4 linked regions of the Arabidopsis thaliana genome follow. The protein of the gene in region 3 interacts with the protein of the main gene of each other region in a pairwise test. Each region holds a gene or a part of one and is shown on either strand. Other genes may lie near its edges.

Region 1 (7,229 bases), on a different chromosome or scaffold from region 3:
TGTGATAATGAAACATAGGACATTTCTGGTTTGTGACTTATATGATCTAGCATTTCTTTTTATGTACCTTTCGCAAATTACAACGTGTACTTTTTCGGGGAATTGTTCTGTGATGCATATAGAGATATGATCCGCTAGTTATTTGATGGAATAGGCATGTATGAAAATTCTTCATCCACACTCTACAGGTGAGACATTTGCACTGGTACAAAATTGGGGAAAAGGTTTCCATTTGTGAATGTAGATGCAGTAGAGCGAAGTTACCACCAAGCAAGTAAGCCAAATATTATTTTTGTTTTATTTTAGTTCTGGCTCACCTTTAACTCGATAAAATAACAAGATTGGACAGCCTTTTCACTGTTTTCATCTTCGTTAGAATGCAATTCAATAAATTGATATCTGGAACACAGAATTCTGTAGTTTCCTTTGTTGAAATGCTGAAGTAGTCAGTGATCTTTGTTGGAATGCTGAACTTATGATACTGATCCCTAACGTAGCCTTCATCTTTCTTACCTCAGTGACATGAAACCATAATTGCATGGATTTGAAAACAGGTTTTGGTTGTTTGAGCCTCGTTGTGGTTTGCATGATGTCGGAGGATGGTATGTTGAAACTTATGGGAAAGATAAAAAGAGCAGGACGGTCCTGGCACAAAGATTCTGGGATGGCCTGGAAGAGGGGAGTACACTGGATGGGTAAGCTTACTATACATATGAAGAGAAAGCAGCTTAAGATATTCTACTGGCATCCTTGTATCTGCGTTGACCACATTTTTCCTCAGTCAATAAAGTCTGGTTACATCTCTGTATTAGTTGTTGTTTGTGAAGTAATCTAACTTATATATGACTTTTTGTATTCTCCAGGAGACTGCACCCAGGTATCTACTTGCTTACACTAGCATATCGTACTCTTGATCTTGAAGATGAAAAGAGAAGGAAACGGTCAATATTGGAGATCCTCGAGGCACGGTTATCTAAAACATTGGATTGGTGTAAAGAATTGGTTAGAAGAAAGGGCCTTGGAACTTAATATGGTAAACCTTCTCCCTTTCCGGATGAAGATCCAAAGATGATTGGATTTACAATTTCCGCATGGATGCTAGCACTTCCATTTAGACTTATGAGGTTGTGGCTAACAAAATGCTCACCAAAGATGGGAGTGCTTAGTTGTTTAAGGGGATCTTGCAGACCAGAAGGTGGTTTTAAAACCCAGAATGGACGGGACCAGAAGGAACACAAGAAATGGTGAAACATATACTGTGCTGGGGTGTTTGATCAAAAAAAAGAAGAGAAATTCTGTGTTGGGGAATGAATCATGTGTACTAAAGAAGTTAAACCACAGAATATTATATCTAAGGAAATTAAACTTCTCGGAAGAAACTGACTTCTTACAAGATATGCAGTGTTTGGGAATGAATCATGCTAAAGGACTAGGTTTCAAAGCGACTCATTAGACTTGTTCAAAATACCATTATCTAATGAAACTAGACTTGATTTTCAGAAGGAAAATGAAACTAGGCTTGGTTCTTCAGCTTCTTCGTCTTCTTAAAGGGTCCTAACTCCTAAGCAGATTCAGTTCCGGTCAACAAAGCTTTGGCCGGAGGGATCAAAGCCACAGCGAAGCGTTCGTCCTTGGAGTATTTCTTTCGTAAAGCTCCCTTAGTACTGCTCTCACTCCCTTCTTCTTGTTGCTTCCATTGCTGATACGCCAACAGCTTTGCACAGTCCCTTTTTCATCATTACAACAAGAATGAATATCCAACCACAAATGCAAAACGCATATGATGCAAATGAAAAAAGAAAGGAACTTTCTTACATGAGCTGAGTCTCAGAATAGCCAGTGTGATGCTTGAGAGTGCTGGTCCATATGGGAACTTGGCGGAGAGAAGATCTTGCTGCGTAGATTGCAGAAGCAGCTACCATTGATGGACTGAACATTATCATCGTATCGTAATGCATTACGCCTAACTCAGCCAAATAGTGCACCATATTCTCCATCTGCAAACCAAAACACAACTGAATGTTCAATATGATGAAATGTATAACCATGGAAGAAACTAAAAAAACGCTCTCTTACCTTTTCGTCTGCAATGGAAGCTTTGATGAAACGAGCTAGGAAGACATAATGAGTCGGAACTGTCAAGTACCACTCAAGTGTAGACAGTATTGTCTTCTCCATCACCAGAATCTGTTTGTGACTGTATGCATGGTCTGCAATATCAACTAGATCCTCCACCTGCAAAAGAATTATCTTTTCATTTAGCCGAAGACAAAAAAGAATCAAAACCAGAAGATTCAAAAGTTCTCTGTTTTTATCACCTGTGGTGGCCAAATTTCTTCATACTTGGCCGACATGAGAAGAGCACTGAGACCAACAAGCTGCAGTTCTTTTCGAGGCACTGGCTTAACCGACAAGAACCGATCCAGAATGTTAACAGTGAGGTAAAATGTTTCCGGGTTTAGCTCGAATCGGACATGCACATCAATCAACCACTCCACCAGGATCAGTCTCATCTTTTCATTAATATCAGGCTGAGATGCCATGTAATCTCGTGGCCTCCATTCACTCTGCCAATCCAAATGATAATTTAAGTAAACAAGTTAATACTACAACAAAGCTGCAAGGAAAGATTCATGAATAGTATAGTATACAAACCTCAACAGACTTGTAAAAACTGTAAATATCTTCCACATATTCCACAGCTGCGAGGTCATTCTCAACATCAGCAGAATCGATATCAACAATCTTTTCTTTCTGTTTCTTCTCTAAACCACAAGCAGCCTGAAAAGCAAAAGAAGTTTATTCAGAACAGACCAAAACATTTTCTTACTTCACACTAAAGAATCATCATTTCACAAGGTAAAAAATTACCTTGCTTCTAGCAGTAAGAACAGATGTGTAAGTGGTCGCTTTCTTCTTAGTAGCCTTCTTCTCTCGAGCAGCAACTAAACCAAGTTCTTCATCACTGTCTGAACTTATCTCAATCACGTCTACTACCTTTGGTTTCCCAGCCACTTTCTTCGGCTTTGGTACTGCGTTTCTCTTGACTACAGGTTTCTGCAGATCAAAGACATATACACATATGACATGAGTTTAACAAATCTAACGAAGAAACCTAATTTGTTCACCAAAATACAGGGGAAAAGGAACAAACTTTGAGATTATCCTCCACAAGAAGCGTGGGATTTTGAGATCGTGTACGAGGACGATGATTGATCTTTTCCGGTTCGTTGTTCTTTGGGTAATTTCCTCGAACAACATTACCTATATCACCAAGAACTTGACGGTTTCTTCCTTTCGCTACGTTTTTGCCATCTACCACAACAACATCATCTTCAACACAACAAAACAAAACCAAAGTTAACAACTTTAGATTCAATTTGCAACAATCATCAGCCATATCAAATCAAGAAAATTCCAGTCAAAGCCACGGACTTTATACTTGATTCGCAACATATTCGTTTCGTTGTTCATAGATATAACAAGAACAGAAAGAAACGAACAAAACCCAGATACCAAAATCGAAGATCACAAACTAAACCAAATCAAATTTTGTCCGTAAAAACCTTAAAAAAAGAAAAAGCAAAGATCTTTCTCTTACCCGTGGATTGTTGAGGAACAATCGAACGAGAAGTCATCATCTTAGTGTTCTCTTCTCTTTCTCTCAGACTAAAATCTCAGGTTTGTAGTAGAAAAAGTCTAAGTAGTGGGGGCGTCTTCTATATAGGAGGCTTCTTGAGGACGATGAGCCGTTTTATAAGAAATAAAAACAAAATTAAAGAAAATAAATGAACCCCAACGGTCTGATTGTTTTTGAAAAATTAGAGGTCGTGGGCTTGTTACGGGCCTTACGGCTGTAGAGACACGAAATCGGGCTTTTTCACTATTGGGATTTTGAAGTCACAACGGCCCACTTATTCTTTTTATTGACTGTGAAGGATATAGGAAAAAAAAAAAAAAAAAAGATTTGTGTGAATTAGATTGCTAGTTAAATCCGGTTAGTTAGATGTTGATCTCTGTTTGGTTTACATGGTTTTGAAATGAAAATTGATTTTGGTTCGGTTTGCATTAGAATTAGTACGGTTTAGAGAAAAAAAAACAAAAAAAAAAGTCACTCGAGACTGTTTTGGAAACAAAGCGAGTAGATGTAAAATAAGCATGATTTTGTGGGTTTACCCCTACAGAAATCGACGACACGCGCTCAACGCGAGGTTGGTGCGAGTGGGCGTGGTCTGTAGCGCGTGGCACGAGGTTGGTGCGAGTGGGCGTTTTCTGGTGCGCTCTGATTGGCTAAAAAAATGAAAATAGTAGTGATGCTCCTCCTCTATTATTTTGTTTTTCGTCATTCCTCGGTTATGAAAGTTGTGTGGTTTTAAGATGGAATTGAGTTTATTCTGAGGTTTTTAGTTATTTTGAAATCATTGATTAATGTCACCAAAAAAAATAGAAACTAGATTTTGAGATACTAAAATTTTCATTTTCATTTTGTTCTGCAACCATTGAAAACTAGATTCAGCTGAGCCCCTGAAGAAATCAAAGTGAGTTGAATATTTTTCTATAAATGTGAAAATTGGTAAAAGTTTGTCCTCATTTTGTTAGTTTAATGTTTTCTTGACTTTAGGAGATGAACTTTCAACTGCAAAGATCCCATCACACATTAATCTCACTCTCTTCCGCACATTGCATGGTGTGGTGTAGCTATGGTTCCCACACAATTGTCATATTCATTTACCACAAAGTTCATGAATCATGTTAGAAGTGAATCCTTTTTCTTTCAAATTTAGTCATCTCTCGAGGAACTTTAAAGGTAAAAGAATAAGATGAAGCTTCCTTGGAAATCTCAGCATTGCACTACCTTTGCTTGCAAATCTAGAATCTGGATTTTAAGATACTTACTCCAACACATATTATTATTACAGGCCGGTGCTCTTGTTCATGTTTGCACCAATGGGACTGTTTTGGTGACACATGGAGGTGTTGAAATGGGTCAAGGATTTGCATACAAAGGTTGTGTCATTCCCCTTAGTTCAGTTTTTGTGTCAGAAACAAGCACATACAAGGTACATCTAACTCGGTTACATGCACTCAGTGGACTTTTTGGCCAAGACAAAACTGATATTGTTCTCTCTTATCATTTTTGTGGTCTCTTAATAGGTTCCAAATGCCTCACACACTGTTATTGCTCCCTTGTCGTTTTGATTGCCTCTTAATAGGTTCCTAACGCGTCACCTACTGCTGCTTCTGCGAGCTCTGATATGTATGGTGCTGCAGTTTTAGACGCTGTTGAGCAGATTATAGCTAAATTGGAGCCTGTTGCATCTAAACACAATTTCAACTCCATTCGCTGAGGGTAGCTTTAGAAGAGCTCAAGTGGGGAGATGCAGCTCATACATGGATTTAACCAGGAGCTTTACTCACTTGCAGACCTGGAAACTACAAAATACCTTAAGAAGAAACTTTACTCACAACATTCAGTTTCTCTTCTCAAGGTATGCAACCATAAGAAGAAGCTCTTTGAATTGGTGGCAACAAATTTGAAACTGATGAACCTAAGATTATACTGATGAAGCTCATTTTGCTAGTTTAAAGTTTTCAACTTTTCACCAAAGGTAATTAAGCATTTAACTACATAAATCAAACCCAGTAGTATACTAAAAGACATTAGACAAATGAGAGAGACAGCTTCGATTTTCAGACAGCTTTAGGTTGGATTTGTTCGAAGTCGAAAACCTCAAACATGAGCCGCCGAACATCGGGTTTCCCGTAGATGGTGTAGGCGAGGCCGTGAATGGCTTGTTGGACAGCGGTTGTCGCCGGATTCCTAAGTCTCCGGTTATGTTCATACCGATCATGAACCTCCTCTGAGTATATTATAAAGTTGTGAAGACGTTTTTCTCTAAGATACCGGCCGCAGAATTTGTTCATTAATAGACGTCTATGCTTCTCTTGCAACCACTTCCCTGGTGCGTCCAAGTGCTTCATTAACAAACGTTCAGCCATTGCTATGTCCTGCATGATCCCGAGACGAAAAATCGGGTTAAAAAAAAAGAAAGAAAGAAAAGAACCGTTCTTTTGATCTTTTAAGATGAGAGATCGTTATCCTCACCTGTATCTTCTGTCCTACATATTCCAGCCGCTCAAAACAAAACCGCGGGTGTTCAAACTTATGCTTTGAAGGATGCAAGAAGCAGAGCTGTGTGATTTAAGGTAAGTGAAAAAAGTTTAGAGAAGGAAAGTAACATATCACATGACAAAGCCAGAAGTAATAGCTTTTGTACCTGTAAACCGAGTCCAAGTTCGATGTTTCTTGCTTCAGTTATCTCCTTGATTCTATCATTCATCGTTAAAGGGTATCCGAGGGTCTGCATAACTTTTGGTTTGCTGTCAAAATCCCATATGTTCCCTCTGAAACGATGCATTCCCGGTGGAACACAAGCTCTGAATAGCCTAGGGTGTGCGAATAAAGCATCTTCAGGAGGCTGAAGCAACAGGAGAAAAAATAAAGAAATCACTCTTGTTAGATAGACCAAAGAAGTAGACTGTGATTTTGTTATATCATGCAGTTTTATTTACCTTGTAAGTAGCAATATCTTGCCAACCTAGCTTTTTCCCTTCAAATTCAACAGAAACATAATCTACATCCTCGAGCTGTCTCCTGCTTCGAGGCTGACACTCATCAGCATCTGGATCCATCCCAAACACCTCAAAAAGTACACGATACACTTCCGGCATCCCAAAACATAGATAGATGGCACCAAACAAAGCCCAGAACACAGATCTAGCCAGAACAAAAGAAATTAACATGGATAAGTACATGTCACTTATGAGACATTGGGATGCACAGACTCGTCAAGTTTTCAGTCATTTAATTCAACCAAATGGAAAGCCCAACCTAGATAATTAGCACCAGCTATCACAAAGCCCCTTTCAATCAAATAACTAAACAAATGATGACACACTACAAACATATAAGACAGATCTTATCTAAGATGAGAAACCTTTGAACAGCTAAAAGCTTTCATAGTGAGACTTGGGCTTATCTAAACACAGAATATAGTTCTTGACAGGATCTACTAGTTCCATATACAGCAAAACCAGATATTAACACATATCATTGTTTATTTCCATGAAGCTAAAGTCTCAGCTCAAAGCAACCAAAGTATGGACTAACACTCAAGTGAAATAATCATCATCATTAAAGAAGAGAGAAACTTAATCCAAATGATGAC
Region 2 (6,218 bases), about 11 Mb from region 3:
ACTGATAGTGTACTTGTACTTTCTCCTTCTTTCTTTTTGTCAACCAAACTTTTGATTTAAATAATGTATACTTTAAATAGCTAATATTATTTTTAACAATGTTTTATGAGTAAAATAACACACTACTTATTTAAAACACACTAAATGCTACGCTATTTGAAGAATAAAAAATAAGCCAGGTAAATAACTCAGCATAATTTACAACATTGCCAATGAACTCGATAAATAACCAACCAGTCACACGTGTAGGTAGGGGTAACTTGTGTGAGTGGGAAAGGTTCAACATTCTATAGCCTATAGGTAGGCATTGGATCTGATGTTTATGAAATGGGAAAGAAAGTTTCACAAGATCCAAGTCATGTGCATGCAGTGAGTCTTGTAATATTAACCCCCACTTTTACTTCTCATATTTATTGCTAGTAATTTGTTTTCACCCATTTTGAACTTTGTGTACATTTTCTCAATCCTTACTCGAAACAAAACAAATACTATACCACCCAATGAAATATAGAGTAAGCACAATATATAGTACTTATATATATATATATATATCCATTTGTTCTTAAACTTTTTAAAAATGATAAATGATGATCACAAATAAAGAAGCTCTCTCTTCAACAAAAAACAAAAATCATAATTTTTACATAACTAAAGACTCGGTCATCTTTTACCCATTCTTTCCTCTACATCCCATATTACTTCCGCTGACCAAAGAGATAATGTTAAAGATGACTTTTTCTGAAGTTAAAATGTTTTTGAAAAAAGAAAAAATAGACATGAAAGTAGAATATGGAAAAGGATTCGAACTAATAAAAATAACATCCGTTTTTAATGAAATAATACTTGCTAACTAATATATATATATTCACTAGAGTTTTATTGTTCTTCGTTATTTTTTAAACAAAAATTGTGAAAAATTTGACCTGGCAGGATAGGAACAGTTAGAATAGAAAGCAAAACTTACATTTGCCTGGTCACCAAGTCACAACATTATATGTTTCACTACTTTGTGAGTACAATGCCTAAAATACCCTTCCCTCGTCACGTGGCTTGTTGGAAGAGGTAACCTAATTATGACGTACATTATTATTTAGTTTTTTTCCTTAATCGCACTATTTTTATTTTCTTCAATTCTTTTCAAATTTAAATTCGTGTTGTTAAGTAAAATATAATAACAGTCAGTTCGCAAAAAAAGTACATAAATAAGGGAAAGGAAAAAAGAATAAATGAAAAGAAAAACTAAAATAACAGAAAGCACGTGGAGTCACGCGCCTTTGCCTGCTGTAGGAAATTAAAATAAGAAAAGAAAATTAAAAAAAGGGAATATAATCCCAACGGAATCAGGTAATGATGAGATCCTCTCTATTCTCTTCTCTCTCTTCCTTTTTTGTATTCTTGCCATTTAAAGTTTTAATTTTTTGCCGTAAAGCTCATTTATAATTTGAAAATTAAATTTCAGAAAGAAAAAAAAACGTCAATCATCGAGAAAGCTTTCAAATTTGCTTCTTTTTTTTTGATAAATAAACATTCAACTTTGTTCATAAAGTTTTCTTGATAAAATAATAAAATAAATTATTTCAAGGAAATTAGAGGAATATTCATTCGAACTATAGAGAAAGTACATACCAAGTGTATGATATATATATACCGTTATGGTTTTCTAATTTTACCCATTTTCCTTAAAATCTATATTTATTTTCTTCTTCCTATTACCATTATTGTTTCACTAAAACAATTGTCGAAACAAGAAAAATAAAAAAGTTATAAAATAGCATATAAAGTACAAGCAACAAAAAGAAGAGAAAAAAACAATTTCTATAAACATCCAAGGTGAGAATCAAAACAATAAATAGTTTTCCAAATTCATAAATACGTAAATCCTCCCAATTTCATGAAAATACTAATAATGTGCACAACACCAAATTCACTACAACAAAACTGACAAAAATTAGTGAAACTTTACTGACACAATAATTCCAATTTTTAATTGTTGTAACCCCACTTTTTTTGTTGAACAATCCAACAATATCACCGAGACAGAGAGAATTAAACTCAAATATATGTTAACACTTCTAGTTAAAAAAAAAAACTCTTGGTACGAAGAACAGATGAAGATAATGATGAAATTAAAATTAGATAAAAACTGTACAATGAAATGTCTCTAAAAATTCTTCTGTCTGTGACAAAAATCACAGTACTAGGACGTGTAACTTTAGCACTGTCTCTTCTTCTTTTTCTTTTTTTTTTTGTTCTTCCATGGCTTCTAAGGTTTCAGACTAACCCACTGGTACCGACCTTCAAGCGGCGTATCATTGACGATGTCGTAGTTGTACCTATACATGTTTTAAACAACTGCAAGTTAAGGATCTCTGCTATCATGCGCGTGTGTGTGGGTCTAAAAAAGACTCACTTTTCTGTGAATCGTTTCTGTTCGTATCTCTCCGCCGCCGAGAAAAAGTCATCAAGCTCTGCCTGCGTCGGTGATTTTTCCATCTTCTTCTTCTTCTCCGTCTTTCTCTGATCTCTCATCTCCGTCGTCGCCGAGTCCATTTCTGCTGTTTCTCCCAGATTCTCGCTTGATGAAATTCCCTGTTTCCTGTGAAATTCCAAAAATTATGAATTTATAGACGAAACAATGAAGAAATTGAAAAATCTTTGAAACGTCTTTTTTAGTAATTAACCTGAAATTGTTGGTGAGTAACGTTGAGATTTCGGTTTCGGAGATTTCATGAGCCTGAAAACGGAAACAAAATTAATTAATCCAAAAAAACGTAATCAGATCTTGCTCAGAGAGCATTTATTGTGAAACAGAGAAATTTCAAAATTTGTAATCTCGAGTTTCGAAATTTCACCTCCAGATCTGAAAATGGAAGACGAGTAGCGATTTCGTTAGTTTCGCTGCTGGAACAACCAGAGCTGATGCTTGAGCTTAGATGATCGTCTTCTTCTTCAGATAACGCGACGGAGCAGAAACCTCCGGAATCTGAAACCGAGTAAGCCAGAGAAGAAGAGGAAGAAGAAGAAAGAGTTCTCGTCGGTGAGCGTAAAACGTCATCATCATCATCGAGTCTCATCCTCTTGATGTTTGATCCTTCGTACTCAGAATCTCTCTTGGGTTTTGTTTCGCTCATTTCTCTCAAGCTCATTATAGTTTTCTCTGGAGAGAGTTTATGAAAAAGTTGGGGTTTCTCTGGTTAATAAAAACAGAGGAAGGGTTTTGGGTATTTGGGGGAGAGGAAGATGAAGGATCTAGAGCCGTTGATTAATTCAACGGCTGAGATTTAATTATTGGGCCTTGCCTATAGCGGATGGGCCGTTGTTGTGCCGGTTTTGAGTGGGGTCCTTTAAACTGAGTCCCGTTCACGGGGAAGCAGGTAACGGCGTCGTTACGGAGCGTAGACGCCGTCGGGATTCTAAACGACGCGTCTTTTTTGCCGTTTTTAGCTTCCTTTTAAAGCAACCCAAAACTAAAACGTCGTCCTATAAGCTGTAGAAATGTGAGTTGTGACAGTAATTTTTGTTAATTAATCTACTTTCTACTATAGATTTCTTAAACTTATATTCTTTTACACGTAAATACATTTGTCAAAACAAAAAAAATAATTCTGATGGTTGCTGATTCATAATTTCTATCATAAGCTCTAAATATCAACTTCTTAAGGATATAACTAGGCACATAGATTAGAGTCTAAAGCATTCACTTTCTTATGAGCAGCTTCACATGGAGACAGAACTATAAATACAATCAATTAAATAGTACTTATTAAATGACAACAACAAAAAACCAACTTAAAATCCAGCTTTTACATGGAATCTGTACATGTCCAAAAATGGGTTAAGAATTTTACACATACAACATGTTTATTTCCTTCTAATAAAATGGGACCATTTTCGTTATTTTTTGGCAGTGAAATAATGAGCAATAATTGACCGTTACATAATAATTGTGCTAACAAGCATTTACTTGGGATTTTTTTTTTTTTTTTTTTAAAGTTACACATGTACAATATCGAAAATATGAAATATTAGAATCTAGGCTTCATTTTGCAAAAAATAAATAAAAAATAATCTAGGCTTCAATTGTCCGATTCTGCTTCTTCAATAATTTTAAAATTTATCACAAGAAAAAAAAGAAGACTCTTCGTTAATTTTCATCCATAATAATGATGTAATCAGAATTTTCAAGGATAATGGTAAAAGGATGAGACGAAGAAGATTCATCAATACAAGTATCTTTGTTTATGGGCTAATTTACAAAAGTTATCTTTATGAATCAATGTTAATAAAAAGTAACTTTAAAGACTAATTCACTTATAAAAGTAACATAGAGATCTTGATGCCAATGTCCTAAAAGAATAAGCGTTTCAATTTCACTTGGAAATGTTTAAGACCTACGACCTACTTCAAAAACACAAACAAAAACAAATGAAGCATGAGTAGTCACATTAGATAGTATGACAATAACAAGATCACGACACATGATGAATAATAGATGCATCTTTTGTATGACTGAGAGCCATTTGTTTTAACAAGAACAGGCACTGTTCGATCCGATCCCAGCCAATGATGAATATAATGTCTATTTTGACTCATCATTTTCAACAAAATGTGAATCAAACGAAACTGGTTTTATAACCTAAAAGGTACAGGAAAATCCTCGAGAGCTTATCTTGATACGATAATGGAATATAAATAGAACTAGGATTCTTAGTTCTTAAAGAGCAAAGGCTAAAACGAAAGAAAAATTGTCCAAAAAAGTAACAACTCAAATGCAACAGTAGCTAAAGCCTGTGTTTTCAGGTAAAAATGCTAAATTTCAACTGTGATAAGTCATGATGTTGGCATATATAACTATACAAAACACAGTGAAGTAAAACACAAATAAGTACGAGCTTAGAGATTTGATGCGTCGTACCGTGAACCTAAGAAGAGTCATTCCTCATTGTGACAAGCTACTTTCTAAGAGGGTCTCAGACTCAGAGAGCTGCTTTCTTCACCTCGAAAAAATTTGAGCGTTCTCTGTTTGCTGCATCAATGTCTTCTTGTGATGCCACGGCCACTGCAACGCCTTTATCACTAACAGAGTCTATTGCCTCTGCGAATTCCTTGAAGTCCTTCAAACTGAAAAAGGATAAAATGGAAGTTACTTTTCTTATCTGTTTGATAATAACTATGTCGAAGAATTGCAACTGGCTATTTGGTAATATTCAAAGAAGTCGTTAAACTCCTAACACTACAAAACTCAGATCACAACATTGTCCCCAAGGATTTCATAAATCCCCACAGGATATCCGCGGCATACCATTATGTGGAAAGTGAAAAAGTTGTATAAATTGATTTGTATATACGCTAAAGCAAAAATGAGAGAATGCTGTTAACCTTGTAGATAATATCTCTTCACGCCTTATTTGCCTCTCTTCGTCGGTTACATTAAGTAAATGCCTCAACAAACTGTTGATAGAGATGGGAAATTAGATTGAAATTCATTACATTCCTTGAAAAAAAGCCAACAAAGACCAGAGAAGAACCCATAAATAAACATCATACCTGGTATAACCTTTGGCATCAGGGAGTTGGTATGAATCGACATCGCCAATTGTCCCAATAATTGCTTTGGTAAGGGTGTCTTCATCGACATCGAGGCCACGTAAGAAATCCCCAGTTCCATCATATATGTCTAGAGTCTTTAATAGGTTGGGATCACGGTAAGATAAGAACGAAAATACTCCTGTGCAAGAGAAAATCCAAAGGTCAGGTCTGACGCAGAATTTGCAACTTGGGGAAGACTCTGTCAGATCAAAATCAAAATGGAAAAGAAAAACAGTTTACCCGAATGTGAATCAAAATCACAGGAACCTCCATATGCACCACCACTTACACGAACACGATCCCATAACCATGTGTTACTAATATGCTTTGATATAACATATGAACTCCCATCAAGTTTGTAGCCACTGCTGTATATATTTCCCGCTTTTCCCACATAGTTCACCTGTCAAAAAGGCAAGAATAGAATTGTGGAGTAAGTAGAAGACGGGTGAAGAGAAATACACGCCAAAGGACACAAAATATATAGAAGGGTTTTCATTTTATTTACCTGGGTTGGTATTACTATAGCTTCATTTCTCAAAGGAAGTCGAGCATCCCAAGTGACGAGTTCACCAGACGGATTTTCAGGGAGTAAATCAAGAAATTTTCCAACATATTTTTCCGTGTTT
Region 3 (6,967 bases):
GTATTTTTTAAGTTATTGAGTTTGGAAAGACATAAAAATTGAAAAGGTTTGGATTATAGAGGCGCTATTTCACCATATCAATCCTTGTCCAACTTTTATTTTTCAGTTTCACTATTATTACAAACTTTTTTTAAATATGACAATTAGGCATGCATGCATGATGCATATAGCAATAGCATCGCTTGAACACGATTTTGTTTACAAAAAGAATCATTAAAATTTTAAGAGTTACATTTTTAATCTTAACTACACCAAAATACTAGAAATACAGTGTATCTTGCAAACTAACTTTAACAACCAATGACGTGTCATGTTCCCAAATCCCAGTTATAAATTTTGATAGATTTTTGACAGTATCTTAGGTACAGCTTTGGCATAAATACACTTTTATTTATTTTAAAAACTATCTTTAGCCTAAATACATTGTTAGTTATTTAAAAATTAGAAACTAAATGAAGAAATTATTTAGATATTAAGAAATATTTATCATTAAAAGATATTAGATTTTGTCATTTTTTTATATTAGTAAATTTTCTTTGTTCAACTAATGAAATTAATAACTAACAGATTATTTTGCAAAATGACAAACCTATAAAATATATATTAATATTTGATTTTCAAATTATCTTGCAAAATCATTCAAAAATTTAACTAAATTTATATTAATGTTGTATTTGAATTTTTCTTATAATGGTGAGATACTGAGATTATCCTTGATTAGAATTGATTGTTACTTTTTTTTGGTAATAATATGTTGTCTATTATTATATATATATATATATATATATATATATATATATATATGTTGAAAATAACACAAAAATATTCACATACGCCAAGCAAAATAGAATCATGAATAATTTGCCAAGAAATTCTCAATTTGATTCATCTTCCATCATCAATGATTTACCTTTAGACCTTCTCGACGAGATTCTCTTCAGATTAGAACCCAAATCTATGGCTATGATGCGATGCACTAACAATTCTATCAAATCATATTTAAGTGATCCAAGATTTGGACCGGAATATCCTTCATGGGTCAGACCTAGTTTGTTTAACCTTGGTAGCTATGGCGCTACTTATGTATGTTGCCATCCTTTGGTCTCTTCATGCGATTATATGTCACCGGGAAATGGAGTAGAACTGTTTGATGGTAGTGCGGATTGTTACATTTTCGGCTCATGCTCTGGTCTTCTCCTATTGTACATTGGTTGTCTCTTTGTTGCAAATCCCTTAACAAAAAGGTTTCGAATCCTGGATCATTCTGGATCAAAGCTTATACCAATGATAGTTAATGGTGGACTTAAAGGTCTTAGCGGAATTAGTTATCCTGGAGGTAATGTTGCTTGTACGGAACGAGCGATGTGCGTTGGATTTGCGGTAAATCGAAATCTAACAACCAAGAGATTCAAGATCGTGGGCATACTCGAGATGGAAAACGTATACGGATTCGAGATCAACGAAGGAGACTCTTGGAGATTATCGGAAACGAGTATCACCACTAGCTCAAAAAGTGATCTCACTACGCGGATGAAACCTGTTTACTTGGACAACACTCTTCACTGGCTGAGAAACGATGGCAGCATCATGTCTTTTAATCCCGAGACAGAGCAAGCATGCTTGATTCCTTCCATATTTCATCGGGAACCGGATACGAAGCTACTTTTCGCGGAAAGCGTTAAGATCAATCGCCTGACCCTAATTTCGGGGACGATAGAAACAATCTCCGTTTACACACTTGTCGAGAATCACAAATGGACACTCACAAGGCGGATCAAGAACATATCTATCGAGGAAGAAACGCTTGTATATTGGAACATAGCTATGTACGATGGCAAGTGTCTTGTGGTGAGGGTGAAAAAGATGGGTTTAGAACCTTTGGCAAGTGTTCTTCATGTGTACGACATGGAAGCTAACAGTTGGGGAGTTTTGGTGTCAACCCTTGCTTGGCCCAATTGCGTCCGAGATTTCTATAAATTGACGCCCTCCTTGTTCTTTGTAGAGGAGGATGAGCAACAGAAGGTGCTTGTTGCTTCTAATGACCGACGCATCTCCTATATAAATTCGATTATGGGACTCATTGATACCACCAAGTAAACATTTAGGGCCTATAGATTATACAAAAAATGTCCTGATTTATAAGAATGTTTGTTTCCCATTTGCTTTTATCATTGCACTATTATGGTTTATGTATTTCAAATCTAAAAATTAGTTGTATATTACTATTTCTTTTGGGACAAAAAATCATTTAAGACAATGTTGTTTAAGAACTTGTTCTTCTCTGGCTTGTCAATTTTTCGTCCTGCCCAATAAAGGCCCATCTTGTGTGTTTTGTCGAATCTAACAACAAACTCACACCTTTTGACCAAAAAACAAACTCTCCCCTTTTTTTTTTCCTTTCGTGTAGCTAAACCGTCTCCGGATGTTGACAAACATTGGTTATTCACTTTTTCCACGTCACACTTAAAAACAGAACATAAAAAAAAAACTAATGACGACGCTCCAGTTTTGAATTTTGAAAAAAGAAAAAAAGAACCGTTGAAAAAACATGAGTGCTCAAAGAGGGAATATACCTTTTTAATAATCTCCTTCCTATTTAAACCAATTCTCGAATCTAATTACATTTCCTCTCTCTTTCCCCAAATTGAAAACAAAATCTGAGATTCGCGAAGGAAGAAGAAGAGTTGTCTTGAGAGATTGATAGAGATGGACAACAATGGAGTTAAACCCGCTGTTTCCGCCATGGAAGCCTTTGAAAAGCTTGAGAAAGTAGGTGAAGGGACTTATGGGAAAGTTTACAGAGCAAGAGAGAAAGCTACTGGGATGATCGTTGCTTTGAAGAAGACGCGTCTCCATGAGGATGAAGAAGGTGTTCCTCCCACTACTCTTCGCGAGATCTCTATCTTGCGTATGCTCGCTCGTGATCCTCACATCGTTAGGTTCGATTTCCTTTTACATTTCTGATTCGGTTCAGTCACTTTCTGAAATTCTCCGATTTACTGGTTTTGATTGTGGATTTAGGACTCAATTTCGATTTCTAGGGTTTAGTCCCGATTAATTGATGTCTCAATTGATTTGATGACTCTGATTCTTCCTGCAAATCGCGCTTAGTGTCGCTCTTAGGTGTTACTGGTAGATCTTAGTTTCAGTTTGCTATTTGTTGTGTGGTCCGATCGAGATAAAATGGGTTCCTTATCTTATCCGAATACTAGAAAATGTCAAAGTAGAAGCTCTGTGTTGTGATCTCAGTTTCAACTATTTTTGTGGTGATTGCATTTCTACTGAGAGATTATTGTTATGATGATTATCTTCTTCTACAGGTTGATGGATGTTAAGCAAGGAATAAACAAAGAAGGAAAAACTGTACTTTACCTTGTTTTCGAGTATGTTGATACTGATCTCAAGAAATTCATCAGAAGCTTTCGTCAAGCTGGACAGAACATTCCACAAAATACTGTCAAGGTTTGGATATTTGGAGATTTTGTTCTGCTTTTTTTCTCTCATCCGATAAGCCCCTTTAAGCTAAGAGAAACATGTTCTTGAATTGCAGTGCTTGATGTACCAGTTATGCAAAGGCATGGCTTTTTGCCATGGTCATGGAGTGTTGCACAGGTAAAAATCGTCTTTGTTTTGGAAGAACTATGACTTGAGATAACCCATTTTGACACAGATCTCTAATCCTACTTGTCTTGGTTTCATTACAGGGATCTTAAGCCTCACAATCTCTTGATGGACCGGAAGACAATGACGCTCAAAATAGCAGATCTTGGATTAGCCAGAGCCTTCACTCTCCCAATGAAAAAGTATACACATGAGGTATATAAGTCTACGTTGATGAAACATTAGTCCTGTTTCATTCTAGTTTTTTTTTTTTTTTTTAATTCTATCTTAGTTTATCTGGAGTTATAACTCAGGATGATTTTACCCCCATGATTTCATTTGCAACAGATTCTAACTCTATGGTATAGAGCTCCGGAAGTTCTTCTTGGAGCAACCCATTACTCTACTGGAGTGGATATGTGGTCTGTTGGCTGTATTTTTGGTACAAAATCTTCTCTTACAGTTTCACTGGTTTCAGTTCAATGTCACTAGCAAGAACTAACAGTTTTGTTTCCTTTTTGATGTGTAGCTGAACTAGTGACCAAGCAAGCAATCTTTGCGGGAGACTCTGAGCTCCAACAGCTCCTCCGTATATTCAGGTAAGTCTTTGTGTTCATCTTTACCTTTAAGACACAAACATGACATTCGCTAACTTGGTTGTTCTGTTTCTTTCTTTCCTGTCAAACTCAGGTTGTTGGGAACACCAAACGAAGAAGTTTGGCCTGGAGTAAGCAAACTCAAGGACTGGCATGAATACCCGCAATGGAAACCGTTGAGTCTCTCCACAGCTGTGCCAAACCTCGACGAGGCTGGACTTGATCTCTTATCTGTAAGTCTCTAGTGTCTAACACACCTCTCAGACCTTGCTTGATTAGTAGATAATCACTCTGCTGAGACTAATTTGTGTTTCTCTTTGTGCACAGAAAATGCTGGAGTACGAGCCAGCAAAACGAATCTCAGCAAAGAAAGCTATGGAGCATCCTTACTTCGATGATTTGCCTGACAAGTCCTCTCTCTGAGGCTCTCTTTATAAACTCTCAATAGGATATTTTGTTCTATCTCTGTCTTTGCTTGTCTCAAGCATTTATCTGCTATCTTAGGATGATTGAAGTTTCAATATTCCCTTTTGATTGGGTCTCTATTCCCAATTGTATAACCTTCCAACATTTTTATCAATGAAAGAATATATCAGTTTCTCTAATATTTCAAAGTAGCAAGATTTGCAACTGTTTCCCATTTGTGTAAGTGTGTGTGTGTGGATGTTCAGGCTACGAGCCACATGAAGAATGTTGGCCAGACAGTGAGAGAAACTGAAGCCAAGGCATAACTCCAGAATAGAATCACAGAGCATTCACTTTCTCCTGATCCGAATAGTTGAGTGATTGTACCTGCCAAAAGGTCAAGTGAGTTTATGAGAAAGACAGTGTGATGACATGTTTTGGTAGTATTTTTGTGAGTCTGAAGAACGAACCAAGATTCATCGCTGGGGGAACGACATACTGAAGCAGAAGAACAAACTGGTAAAGCGGTTCGGATGTAACCAAACCCAAGTAATGCGCTCCTCGTACTATGAAAACTCCTAATATTGGCAGCAACAAGTAACGCACAACCACCACACCCATTATGACTGACTTGTTTATTCCTGAACCTCTCAGACCTGTGATTATTATAAGAGAGAGAACAGAGATTTAAGGTTTTGTCTTAGGAAAAAAAGTTTCTGCAGCCATTTGTTATTGTTTATCTACCATTGAGAAGGTTTCCTCCAACAATCAGAGTCAGAACAGGAATCGCCCCGTCCCTTCAAGAAAATTAAGCTACTCAAGTAAGCATTGTTAATTATCACTGACAAGTGAGATTTTTAATATGTTGTAGAATACCCCAATAGAGATACTGAGTCCTCAATCACTCGAAGTGGAGCTGTGTTACCGACTAGTAGCTTCCGTAGTAAAGGATTTAACCCAACCGCAAGCGCGATAAGCTGAAGAGAAAGAGGATTAGTTGCTTAACTAGTAAGAACATACAGAAGCTAGATAGCAGTCGTTTAGTTCAAGGGAACATTGAAACAAACCGCTGCAATAGTTGAAGGAGCAAATATTGTTCGTAGATTGATTTTCTCTGCTACAGAGCACACTCTTTGTTTGACCTTGCCCCAAGTCCCAACCTTGTCACATATACATTCTCTCAAAATCAGTAAGTTGGCTAACAAGAATATAAGAAGGAAAAGTTTAGACTAATACCTGTTCCGCAACTTCGACTTTGGGAGAAATCAGTGGCATTGTAGACGAGGTACTGTTTATTGCGGTTTCTCCAGCAGGATTTGCTAGCATCCGCATAAGATTGTATACATAAGTCCATATGTAAATGGCTCCAATCTGATATACATCACAAAACGTTTTTGACTTGTATTGGCATTAAAAAAAAACTTTAGTAGAGAAGCATAAGAAGTAGTTAAGAAATGGTGACATACCGCCATAGAGAGTGCAATATAACCAAGTCCAAATTTCTCACAAGACTCAGGATCTCCAAAAGGACTTCCCTTTTCATTACATATAGCTGGGATGATAATGAGTGGCATATTCCCCAAATTCCCTGTTGGATTACACAATCTCATCACTGAATCTAAGAAAATGAAAACAGCTTTTGTAAGATGATATTAAAGTTACCAGCAGCACAACAACCAACGATGATGCCACGGAGATGCGAAGGAGGTTTAGTGATTTTGATAACAATCCAACCCAAAAACGAACCAATGATGAATGTTAGCAAAACATTAAGTGGCATGAACCACCTGAAAATGACCCCAACAAAATCAACATTTCATTTTCAAGAAGAATCAGTTCTTTGAATAAAAAACACTTACATTTTCACCATGCTTTCGTATGTAATAGTCTCAGATAAACTGCTTGCAACAAGAGAAGGACTAAACACATAGAAAACTATCTGTAGAAACCAAAACTCATAAGAGAATAAATTAACCAAAATTGGTGAATGGCTATGCATGTGACGGAAAACACTGACATTGTTGAGTTGTTTTCTTGCATCGTGATTGAGAATGTTAACTTGATCAAGAGCCAAGTAAAATCCAATTCCTGTTATCAACAGAATCTTCGCAACTGGTATCGATGAGGTTATGAACAGATCCAAAAGCCTCATCCTCATCTTCGCTTTCAATCTGATACCAAAGAAACCAAAACAATATCTTCTATAGAATAACCAGTTATGCATTCAAATCGAGAAGAATAGAAATACGAAAAACATTGAAATCGTGTGAGACGTGATGATGATGACTTACGGAATAGAAAGAACGGAGAATCGAGAGGAATAGAGAGATCGATCTTCGTATTCTCTGGTTTATCGAGCTAAGAAA
Region 4 (9,644 bases), 1.7 Mb from region 3:
AGACTTGCGGTTCACATATCGAACGCAACAAATTTGGTGCTTTTTGTAGCAAAAGTTTATGCCTCTATGGAGAGTAGATCCATGGCTGTGATTGCTTCAACTTTGGACTCTCTTTTGGATCTCTTGTCTGGTTTTATCCTCTGGTTTACAGCTAATGCCATGAGAAAACCAAACCAGTTTCACTATCCTATCGGAAAGCGCCGGATGCAACCTGTGGTATGCTTCTTCTGTTTTGATCTCTTAACCCCTTTGTTTGGAACTTACTTGTCTCACAAGAAAATAGAACTGATAATGTAAATTTACAGGGTATCATTGTGTTTGCTTCCGTGATGGCAACTCTTGGACTGCAAGTTTTGCTAGAGTCAGGAAGGCAACTAGTTGCCAAGGTACTTTACATATTTTCAGGTAACTGCTTTCATCGGTTAATTAATGTATTTAACCAATTCTGTTTTTTGTTACAGAGTGGTATTCATATGAATAGCACAGAGGAGAAATGGATGATTGGTATCATGGTCTCTGTCACCATCGTGAAGTTTCTTCTAATGCTTTATTGCAGAGGATTTCAGAACGAAATCGTTAGGGCCTATGCTCAAGATCACCTCTTTGACGTCGTCACTAATTCAATCGGCTTAGCAACAGCTGTCTTGGCCGTCAAATTCTACTGGTGGATTGATCCTACCGGTGCTATACTTGTAAGTAACTAACTTAGGAATCTAAAATGATCAAGAAATGTCTCGTCGGATTACTAAAACGTTTTTTTTTTCCTTTTTATGGTTGCAGATTGCTTTGTACACCATAGCAACATGGGCAAGAACCGTACTAGAGAACGTCCATTCACTGATCGGCCGCTCTGCGCCACCAGATTTCTTGGCGAAACTGACATTCTTGATATGGAACCATCACGAACAAATTAAGCATATTGACACAGTAAGGGCTTACACTTTTGGGTCACACTACTTTGTGGAAGTGGACATTGTTTTGCCAGAGGACATGAGACTACAAGAGGCTCACAACATCGGAGAGACTCTTCAGGAAAAGCTCGAGCAGCTCGCTGAAGTAGAACGAGCTTTTGTCCACATAGACTTTGAGTTCACTCATCGTCCTGAACACAAGTGTAACTAGATTTTAAGTAGTAATTTGTAGTACTATAATTAGTTCTTTAGTTTATGTACTCTTCGTGTCGTTTTTGTCTATATAGATACTTGAACGTTGTGCCGTCTCTGTTTATCGAATGCGCATTGTGTGTCGTTTGAAGCTAATCGTCGACATTAATAGCGTTTCAAACACTAAACTCAAAATAAAGATAAAATCATATATAATAAAATAATGAATTTTAAATGAAAACCACTCAAAATGGTTTTTATCTATCTTCCGACAAAATTCCGTGCTTCATTGCTCTTCTCCACAAGACAACATTTCTCTGGCTCAGAATCGACGCCATGGAAATGTAAAGAAGAAACAAAGACGAGCTCTCAAATCCAGCAGCAATGGCTTTTCTTCTTTCTAATCTATCATCTCCGTCAATCCATCTTCAAACCGGAAAATACCCAAACCTTAAACCCATTTTCAGTCAATCTCTATCGTCTTCGTCTTCTGTTAGCTACGAATTTGTAGAAGAGAATCTATCTACACTCTCTCTATTGAGCATCCAGTCTCCTCCTCTTAAAGACACGCAAGTTCAGACAAGACACAGTTCGCAAGATAAGCATAATAACCACGACAGAGATGAATTCTATATCAATCTTGGTGTCGCTGTCCGTACACTTCGTGAAGATTTGCCTTTGCTCTTCACTAGAGATCTTAATTACGACATCTACAGGTAAATTTCTCGTTTGGGTATTTGATAATTGATGAAAGAAAGAATCTTTGGATGCTATCTTCAGAAATTTATCATTTTGGTATAAAAAAGGAGCTTCCTTTGATCTCTCTGTTTGTGAATGTTTCTCTTAGAAATTCAGAATATTTTTTTTGTTTGACAGGGATGATATAACATTTGTGGATCCGATGAACACATTCACTGGGATGGACAACTACAAGATTATCTTCTGGGCACTCAGATTTCATGGGAAGATATTGTTCAGAGATATCTCACTTGAGATCTTCAGAGTATGGCAACCATCAGAGAACATGATTCTCATCAGGTGGAATCTCAAGGGTGTGCCTAGAGTTCCATGGGAAGCTAAAGGAGAGTTTCAAGGCACTTCTCGGTATAAACTCGACCGTAATGGCAAAATCTATGAGCATAAAGTCGATAACTTGGCCTTCAATTTCCCTCAACAGCTCAAACCTGCAGCTTCGGTTTTGGATTTGGTGACTGCTTCCCCTGCAAGCAGTCCTAATCCTACGTTCTTTTTCAGTCCTGTGGACTCTTATTCATCTTCATGGGTTAAGTTTTATCAAGCGGTGAGAGGGACATTGGAGACAGAGGATATGTTTGTAACAACAGACTGTTTAGTCACATGCTCATAGTGGAAGTAGAGTTGCGATATAGACACTCAAGGTCACACTTCTCAGGTGTATATAGTTTTTACATTAAAGGTTTCATATATATGAGTAGATCTGGTTGACTTAATTCTTGGGAAACCTAGAATTGTTATGTTGTTCCAAAAGCTTTATACAACGTTATCAATACAATGGAGTTTTGTCTTTATGATTATGTGAAACAGTAATATTACTCAGTGGTTAAACACACAGAAAAAAACCAACACACCTAATCAAAGAATCACCATTAGCCTGAGTTTTCTTAATATCCGGCTAGAGTCCATGTAAATGTTGTATCTCCCTGCAATTTCCGAGTAAGGATGAACAAGATCAGTTCAATAGAGAAAACGAATAGAAAACAAGTTTTCAGCTCATGAACATATGTATATATATACACACCTTTAGACTGGTCAGGCTTGCCATGACTTTTGTATAGTTCAACTTAGAGAGGGAGTTTATCTAAGGGCTTCAAGACTGCGACGTTACTGCGATCTGGATTTATGTACTTCTCATAAGTGACCCTCAGGTTTCCTGTTTTAGCAGCTTTGTGAAACCTTAAGATCATGTCAGAACAGTCCCTGTGATAAGAAAATTGTGTAAGATTAGTTAAAGAATGTAACTAGTCTAAGTGATCTACAAGGAGGAGTTATTAATGAGATTTTAACTTACTTCATCTGGGAGACATTGTAGTGGGTATGGTTGTTTAGGAGCGAGGTCCAAACTGGAGTCATATGCAAAGTGCATCTGGCAACATAAATGGCTGATGCACATAGCAGTGATGGCTTATACTTCAAAGCTTCGTACTCAACCAAACACAACTCGATAAGGTAGAAGGCGAGTTGTTCAAGCTGATAATAGAAATAATACTATTCAATGTCTACCTATTCAAACAGAAGAATTTTATAGGTTATTAAAGCATACAATGCAGGTTTTTCGCGTACCTTCTTATTGGATTGAGCAGCTTTTAGGAACCTCAACATGAAAACATAGGGGGTGGGTGCATTCAAACGGAACTTTAACTGTTTAAGCATACTTCTCTCCTGAAAATGAAAATTAGGATAAGTTACAAGGGGAAATACGCAAATGACCCGTATTTTTTATAAAGAATAGAGAAGTTTGACTATAAACAGAGTTCATTATATACCATTCCCAAGATTTGTTCTCTGGTGTATGATTCTGCGGATATGCTGATCAAGTCTTTGATCTGCACATGGACAAAGAAAATAGATTGTAAATGTCTATTTTCAGGAGAGGTATTAGCTTTCAGGATAAATGTCTCTTACCCTAGGATGCCAGTAGTCCTCATATTTAGATGCCAATAAGAGTGCAGTAAGACCTATCAATTGCATCTCATTTTTATGTATTGGAACTTGGGAGAGGTAACGGTCTAATAAGTCCATTGTCAGGTAAAGAGTCTCATGCATTAGATCAAATTTGAAATGAACCTGCAAACAATAAGTAAAACCTAAGTTTCCACAAGAAGAAGTAGGGATAATATCAAGTTGAAATGGAACCAAAAATATACTGCACTCACTTCGATAAGCCAGTTGATCAAAATTCCACGCGTAACTGGACTGACTTCTGCATGAGCTGACAAGTAATGTCCCAAAGCTGGATTTAATGCCTGCAACAATATTTCACGTTAAGCTACTGGAAAGCTAAAATTCAATATTCAAACTGCAAGTAAAATTACCAAATTAGTAATATTAGAGAAAAAGAAGTTGATGTATGTGGAAGAAATAAGTGGATTACTTCTGCAGTCCAATAGAACTGATATATGTCATCCACATATTCTGCAACTTCCAGCTGATTGGATTCATCATCAATGCTTGGAAGTTTTTCTGGCTCTGTGGTTTCACCATTTTTCTCATCGAACTGCAAGTAAAATTACCAAATTAGTAATATTAGAGAAAAAGAAGTCACAAGAAACAACACAACTAATAAATTACGAACCTTTGATCCATTCACTAGTAGAGATGTGAAAGACTTTCTACGTTTTGATTTTGGCTTCGCTGTAACATCCAACACTTTTGTTGTTGGGTCTTTGTTTCCACTAGATGAACTCTCTCCTTGAGTGTCTTCTTCAAGACATTTTGTCTCAACCTTTTCCGGAAGTGACAGTGTTGAGGCAACTGCAGAAGAAGGGATTGAAGAAATAGATCTTGATTTACTTCTACCCACTGGGGGCTTCTTAAGAGAGCTACGGTTTTGTAGCGAAGTCTTTACAGTTGTCTGGATCTTGAGTAAGAGAGAAAGCTTATCACATATTTAATAAACAAAAATCCTCAATACGACTGTAACTATTGCCCGATGAAATGATCACGAGCAAGAAAACAAAGATGAAAGAAGAATGATTTAGCAGTTCAATGATGATAATAGCCAAGGCCAAATAGTGTGGCTTTAATGGAAATGAATCACTTGCATAGATATGAAAGGACTAAGGTGTATACCTTGATAGATTTCCTTACGAAACGGACGTTATTCTTACTCTGCTTATTGCCGTCCCTAAGCATGTAAAGAAAATAAACTTAGCAACTTGGGATATAAGTTGCTGCCCACAAACGATAAAAGAAAAAAATAATCTGATTCTCCAAGATGTAAAAAAGTCGTGCATTGATAATGAAAATGCAAACAAGGATTCTGTGAATGTAGACAATTTGATAGTTGGAAGTAGACATGTGTGATACGCAAGAGAGAAACAACTTCACTTATTTAATGATGATATCAGAATTAAGCATATTTACTTACGATTGTATAGAGCCGACACTTGTTCGAGTTTTCCAAGTATAGGTTCCGGCACTGCTTAGCTGCGGGACAGCTTGGTTGCTGGCTTTACTGGCTGAAACAATGCAACATCAATCATATCAGATACTGACCAATCAAGTTACAATTTTAACATACACATTTCCATCAGAAGTTAGAAAAGAAATCCATGTTACCTAGACCCTGACCCAATTGTTTCGAATTTAAGCCTGAGACATTGAACTGCGCCAAGATAGTAAATACACAATTAGTAAACTGTCCTAAATGATTAGCCTCACGAGTTGTTGTACAGCCAGTTGTAAGAAAAAAAAACAATCTCAAATTAGATTGATAACAACCTTTTTTAAGCTCTTATCTGTGAGGCTTGTTCTCTTTAAAGTTGGTAAGGACTTTCTGCAAGCACAAATCAATCAAGGAAGTTAATCAATGAATGATGTAAATCATTCTCAGCAGATACTAAAGAAAATGGCTGGTAGATTAATAATGTTTTCGCTATGGTGAATGAACAACAGGTTACTTGATGAGAGCTTTGACATATTGATAGGTAATGTAGGGCATAAACAAGATATCTATTTTTTCTTGGAAAATTCTTCAAACTAGTCTGGAAGCGGATAATCTATTATGCATGAGATTAGCACGAAGGTACCTTGTTCCACCAGCCGTTGATCCAAGGCTCAAGGTTTTGTTTTTGATGAATTTCTGACCTAAAATATGATTTAAAACAAAGTTAAGATAAATGGCAAAGATCAACTAAAGCCATAGCCATGAAAACAAACATAACATTTAGGAAGTCACCTGTCTTGTAAAGGTTATTGTTCCCAAGTTCGGTGGTTCTTTTACTCACATTCTCCTATATCAGAAAAAAGAAACAATCTAGAATCAAGGCTTGCAAGAAAAATGAAGGAAATGGCCATCAAGTAGTTTAACTGATGAATCTCATGCTTTAAGACACAAAGTTTGTAATATTTGCTGTAACTCATATGCTGATGAATTGTGATATTCTGGTTAATCTCATAACTGCATCTAGTCATAGTAATTTGCAAGTATACAACATGATATAGTTTGCCAATACGCTTGCTATACCTTAGTAGACTTTTTCACTGAGATATTATTAGCTCTGGTTGGACCAACTGAGACCCTACACATGGAAAGGTCAATTAGCCCAGCATCATCAACTCATTTTCAAACATCAGATATTATATACATGGAACTGTACGGATTCGTTCTGTAAAAGCTCATCAACTGAGATGAACGACTAATCCTAAGTAGAGATGTAACGTATTGCATGTATATGATGTGTATAGCAGCAGCTAACGATTACTGCATACCTTTTCGGATTTGCCATTTTTACACCTTTCCATTTCCTGCATTGTTGCATGTTCAGTAGAATAGTTTTAGAACAGAATGCAAATCAGTACAATAAAAACTAACTAACTGATTAAGAAGTGAAGACCATGGCAGTTAATAACTCTTTTCCATGAGGGATAACAAAAAACCCTTAAAAGTTAAGCAATTTTACATGGTACTGCTGCCACAAAGCGTTGGAATCCTTAGAGTGTTCCCACCAAGATTACTTAAATCAGCCAAAGCTTTTCTTGTGACTTTAGTGTATTCCTCTGAAAAGGAGACAAATATCGGAGTTAACTTTCAAAACTAGGTCCCAAAAATGTAATGAAGATATACTCTCCCTTATAAAGCTTACCCCAGTTTTCAATACTGCTTTTGCCCTTTCCTGTGATTCTCGAATTTTCCTTCTTTTTGAATCAAAACAAAAGTGCATTAACATGTGAATAAGTGCATAACATCCAACACTTGTATGAACTCAGAAACAGGGAAAAGGGATAAACCTTCATATTGTTTGTGTTAGAAGTTGCTCCTAAACCATTGCTAATTGTTACAGACTTTCTCCTAAACAATGTAAAAGCAGAAGATTAATTCTTACAGATTCGTAAAGTCAATTTCTTCATGATCAAGCCAAAATATGCACCAGTAAATACATCATGTAATGGATGGAAGAAAACAGAATAATTGTAAAAACAGCAACACAAACCTCAAAGGAATACGAGTCTTCTTCTGTGAAGTACCTCTGCAGAAAGAAATAGGTACAGTTTAATCCAGATTAACAAATAGCAACAGTTTAATTCAGATTACTGAAAGATGAATTGCAAGAGGATCCACTTACATTGTACTGGCTGGATCAGTTTTCTGATTATCGGAGAAGATTTTGAAACTCCTAGTACTCACTGTTTAACATGTAAACATTTTTTTAGAACTGAATAAGGTTCACCAAGTAACTAACAGAGGATAAAATAGTCTCTCTTACCTCGATTTCCAAGAATATCATCTCTACTTAGTCGTGGTGCCTACAAAAGTAAATCAATCGTAAGTGAAATAAGAAGCAAGGCTTTATCCCCTGTGATTTTAAGATGAAGTTGATCTAACTAACCAAATCTGAGAGTAGTAAGCTACTGAAAACTCAAGAATCTAATCTTGTGATAAAAGAAGCAGAAATAGGCAAATACCATAATATCTTCTATCTTCGAAACAATTCAAGATCCCTAATCCTAATCTCGTTTAAAATAACAAGCCCTCGCTCGAATCTCAAATTCATCTGCGATGAACGTAGTAACCCTAACTCGTTTTTTGAAGAAATTAGGATTTTCACGTACCTTCGCGAACGCCATTTTCCTCAAATCTCCAGATCTTCTGCTTTGTTCTTCCCAGAAACCCAATTGCAAGAGAGTTCTACCGTTGCAAATTCCCAAAAGTAGCGACGCCGCTTCTCAAGTATTTGAAATTGAGCCTATCTAATTTACGATTATGCCCCTTCTGTTGCTACGTATTTTCTGCTTTTGTTTGGGCTTTGTTTACCCAAGCCCATTTTAATCCAACCTAGAGCTTGTCAGACCCATCATTCTATTATTCTGAAAAAATAAAATAAAAGAACTTCACTGTTTGCATTTTGTTAGTTTGTTCAGTTTCTCAGAGGATACTGTGCAAGTGCAACAACATAAATTTCAAGTCCATAGAAAGAAACCATGCATTATGTAAAAAAACTTAAAGAAAAGACTACAAGATCAGGTATAGAAAAAGTGCTTTATGTTGACATAAAAAGTAATTTAACTTCTAATTGTTGTTTATTTCTTCAAAAATAAAACAAACTTAGACATTTGATATCATATCAGGCAACATCAGCTACTTTGAATATACATTAGTCACTGTGGAGAGATGTGTTTTGCCAAATAATGCTTATTGCTCCGACAAGATTGAAATATTATCAAGAAGATGTAGTTGCACCCAAAGTGACGTACGGACCTGCAAAATGCAGAAAAGAATCAGCAAATGATGAGAAAACAAACAAAGAGAGTTCAACATTTCTATCTTGATTTATCGGTCACTAACACACCCTTTGATTCTAATCACGATAAGGCGTGAGATCGATTTGGAACTGTTGTTTCCCCTTTGTGACACTCTGCAAAGATGTTATAAGAGCCAATGTTACAACAAAAGGAAACAGATTAAATTTTTATGGGATAATGTAAAGGGCTTACCGCGATTGCAATGAGCTCTTCTAGCAGTTCTTCTAGATGACGCAGAGGCTGAACGGGAAGAAAAACGATGATCAAGAATGCATTGTGTTAGACTAATGGATATGGTCTGAAAAAAAGTAAAACTCACCCATTGTGTTGGACCATCGACCGGTGCATTTAAAGGATCATCATGCACCTAATTCACCGGAAAATGAACCAAGTTTCATAACCAAATTGGAACAAAGATTCAGCGAGATGACAAAACTTGCGATAAAGTTGGATACCTCCATGAAAATTCCATCGACACCAACAGCTACGGCGGTTCTTGCTATGCATGGTATTAATTCGCGAAGGCCACCACTAGCAACACCCCCACCATCTAACTATATAAACAAGGTATGTTTGAGTTTAGACCAATTCTGATTTAGCTTTAAAACACCAAGCATTTTCTTAAATTACTCAGAGCATCGTTCTAATGACCATACCTTCTTGCCTGCAGGTTGTTGTAATGAATGAGTTATATCAGCAACCTGAAGCCAATAACTAAATTATATTATACGAGTGTCAAAACATCAAAGTATAAAGCCAAAGCCAAGATATAAACTCCCACAACAAGAAAAGAACAAGAAGCAATATTAACTCACAACGGGACAATCAGCTTCCCTCATCCATTCCAAATTTCGTGGATCTACTATTAAATCATCTGAGGAACAAAATTAAAATGTAAGGACACTCAGGAGTTATATCCAGTGTCTTTTAGTCTATTTTAGTCTCTATTTGCAAAAAAATTGGTGAATTCTATTGACACAAAGAACAGTTAACTTACTGTATCCAAACATGGTTCCTCTTTCACAAACCATCACATTTGGA

The links.
Region 1: the proteins of CDKB2;2 (region 3) and CYCB1;1 interact in a protein complementation assay, tested with the Arabidopsis thaliana proteins (one large-scale study listed by BioGRID).
Region 2: the proteins of CDKB2;2 (region 3) and ICK5 interact in a two-hybrid assay, tested with the Arabidopsis thaliana proteins (one large-scale study listed by BioGRID).
Region 4: the proteins of CDKB2;2 (region 3) and CYCB3;1 interact in a two-hybrid assay, tested with the Arabidopsis thaliana proteins (one large-scale study listed by BioGRID).

Annotation. Positions count from the first base shown.
Region 1 is NC_003075.7:17,620,568-17,627,796, forward strand, and holds CYCB1;1 (CYCLIN B1;1), read right to left. Parts: upstream 3,742-7,229; 5' UTR 3,642-3,741; coding exon 3,602-3,641; intron 3,334-3,601; coding exon 3,155-3,333; intron 3,058-3,154; coding exon 2,872-3,057; intron 2,782-2,871; coding exon 2,656-2,781; intron 2,568-2,655; coding exon 2,319-2,567; intron 2,236-2,318; coding exon 2,077-2,235; intron 1,998-2,076; coding exon 1,816-1,997; intron 1,728-1,815; coding exon 1,562-1,727; 3' UTR 1,319-1,561; downstream 1-1,318. Other genes in the region: AT4G37480 (Chaperone DnaJ-domain superfamily protein), read left to right, coding at 1-28, 189-274, 555-695, 864-1,029; AT4G37483 (uncharacterized protein), read right to left, coding at 1,026-1,253; AT4G37500 (Aldehyde oxidase/xanthine dehydrogenase, molybdopterin binding protein), read left to right, coding at 4,821-5,060, 5,214-5,348; AT4G37510 (Ribonuclease III family protein), read right to left, coding at 5,692-6,009, 6,107-6,193, 6,279-6,479, 6,574-6,778.
Region 2 is NC_003070.9:18,363,429-18,369,646, forward strand, and holds ICK5 (Cyclin-dependent kinase inhibitor family protein), read right to left. Parts: upstream 3,317-6,218; 5' UTR 3,147-3,316; coding exon 2,853-3,146; intron 2,735-2,852; coding exon 2,682-2,734; intron 2,597-2,681; coding exon 2,411-2,596; coding exon of another isoform or gene 2,407-2,410; exon of another isoform or gene 2,334-2,406; coding exon 2,264-2,333; 3' UTR 1,908-2,263; downstream 1-1,907. Other genes in the region: PREP2 (presequence protease 2), read right to left, coding at 4,977-5,121, 5,380-5,451, 5,548-5,728, 5,830-5,992, 6,098-6,218. UniProt on the Arabidopsis thaliana protein: Binds and inhibits CYCD2-1/CDKA-1 complex kinase activity. May target specifically CDKA-1.
Region 3 is NC_003070.9:7,290,404-7,297,370, reverse strand, and holds CDKB2;2 (cyclin-dependent kinase B2;2), read left to right. Parts: upstream 1-2,624; 5' UTR 2,625-2,706; coding exon 2,707-2,939; intron 2,940-3,320; coding exon 3,321-3,462; intron 3,463-3,550; coding exon 3,551-3,612; intron 3,613-3,704; coding exon 3,705-3,816; intron 3,817-3,948; coding exon 3,949-4,042; intron 4,043-4,129; coding exon 4,130-4,199; intron 4,200-4,290; coding exon 4,291-4,429; intron 4,430-4,523; coding exon 4,524-4,619; 3' UTR 4,620-4,863; downstream 4,864-6,967. Other genes in the region: AT1G20940 (F-box family protein), read left to right, coding at 853-2,097; AT1G20925 (Auxin efflux carrier family protein), read right to left, coding at 4,864-4,988, 5,072-5,257, 5,346-5,398, 5,478-5,578, 5,669-5,761, 5,838-5,972, 6,068-6,189, 6,264-6,388 and 3 more.
Region 4 is NC_003070.9:5,579,464-5,589,107, forward strand, and holds CYCB3;1 (cyclin b3;1), read right to left. Parts: upstream 7,999-9,644; 5' UTR 7,929-7,998; coding exon 7,914-7,928; intron 7,608-7,913; coding exon 7,568-7,607; intron 7,488-7,567; coding exon 7,427-7,487; intron 7,331-7,426; coding exon 7,295-7,330; intron 7,153-7,294; coding exon 7,092-7,152; intron 6,999-7,091; coding exon 6,947-6,998; intron 6,861-6,946; coding exon 6,764-6,860; intron 6,609-6,763; coding exon 6,573-6,608; intron 6,383-6,572; coding exon 6,328-6,382; intron 6,095-6,327; coding exon 6,040-6,094; intron 5,949-6,039; coding exon 5,891-5,948; intron 5,638-5,890; coding exon 5,583-5,637; intron 5,467-5,582; coding exon 5,421-5,466; intron 5,321-5,420; coding exon 5,230-5,320; intron 4,987-5,229; coding exon 4,932-4,986; intron 4,720-4,931; coding exon 4,435-4,719; intron 4,357-4,434; coding exon 4,234-4,356; intron 4,106-4,233; coding exon 4,016-4,105; intron 3,927-4,015; coding exon 3,765-3,926; intron 3,686-3,764; and 8 more. Other genes in the region: AT1G16310 (Cation efflux family protein), read left to right, coding at 1-216, 306-386, 462-692, 781-1,122; AT1G16320 (plant/protein (DUF2358)), read left to right, coding at 1,488-1,819, 1,980-2,469; ATKDSA2 (Aldolase superfamily protein), read right to left, coding at 8,660-8,716, 8,796-8,843, 8,923-8,970, 9,059-9,157, 9,260-9,304, 9,419-9,477, 9,601-9,644.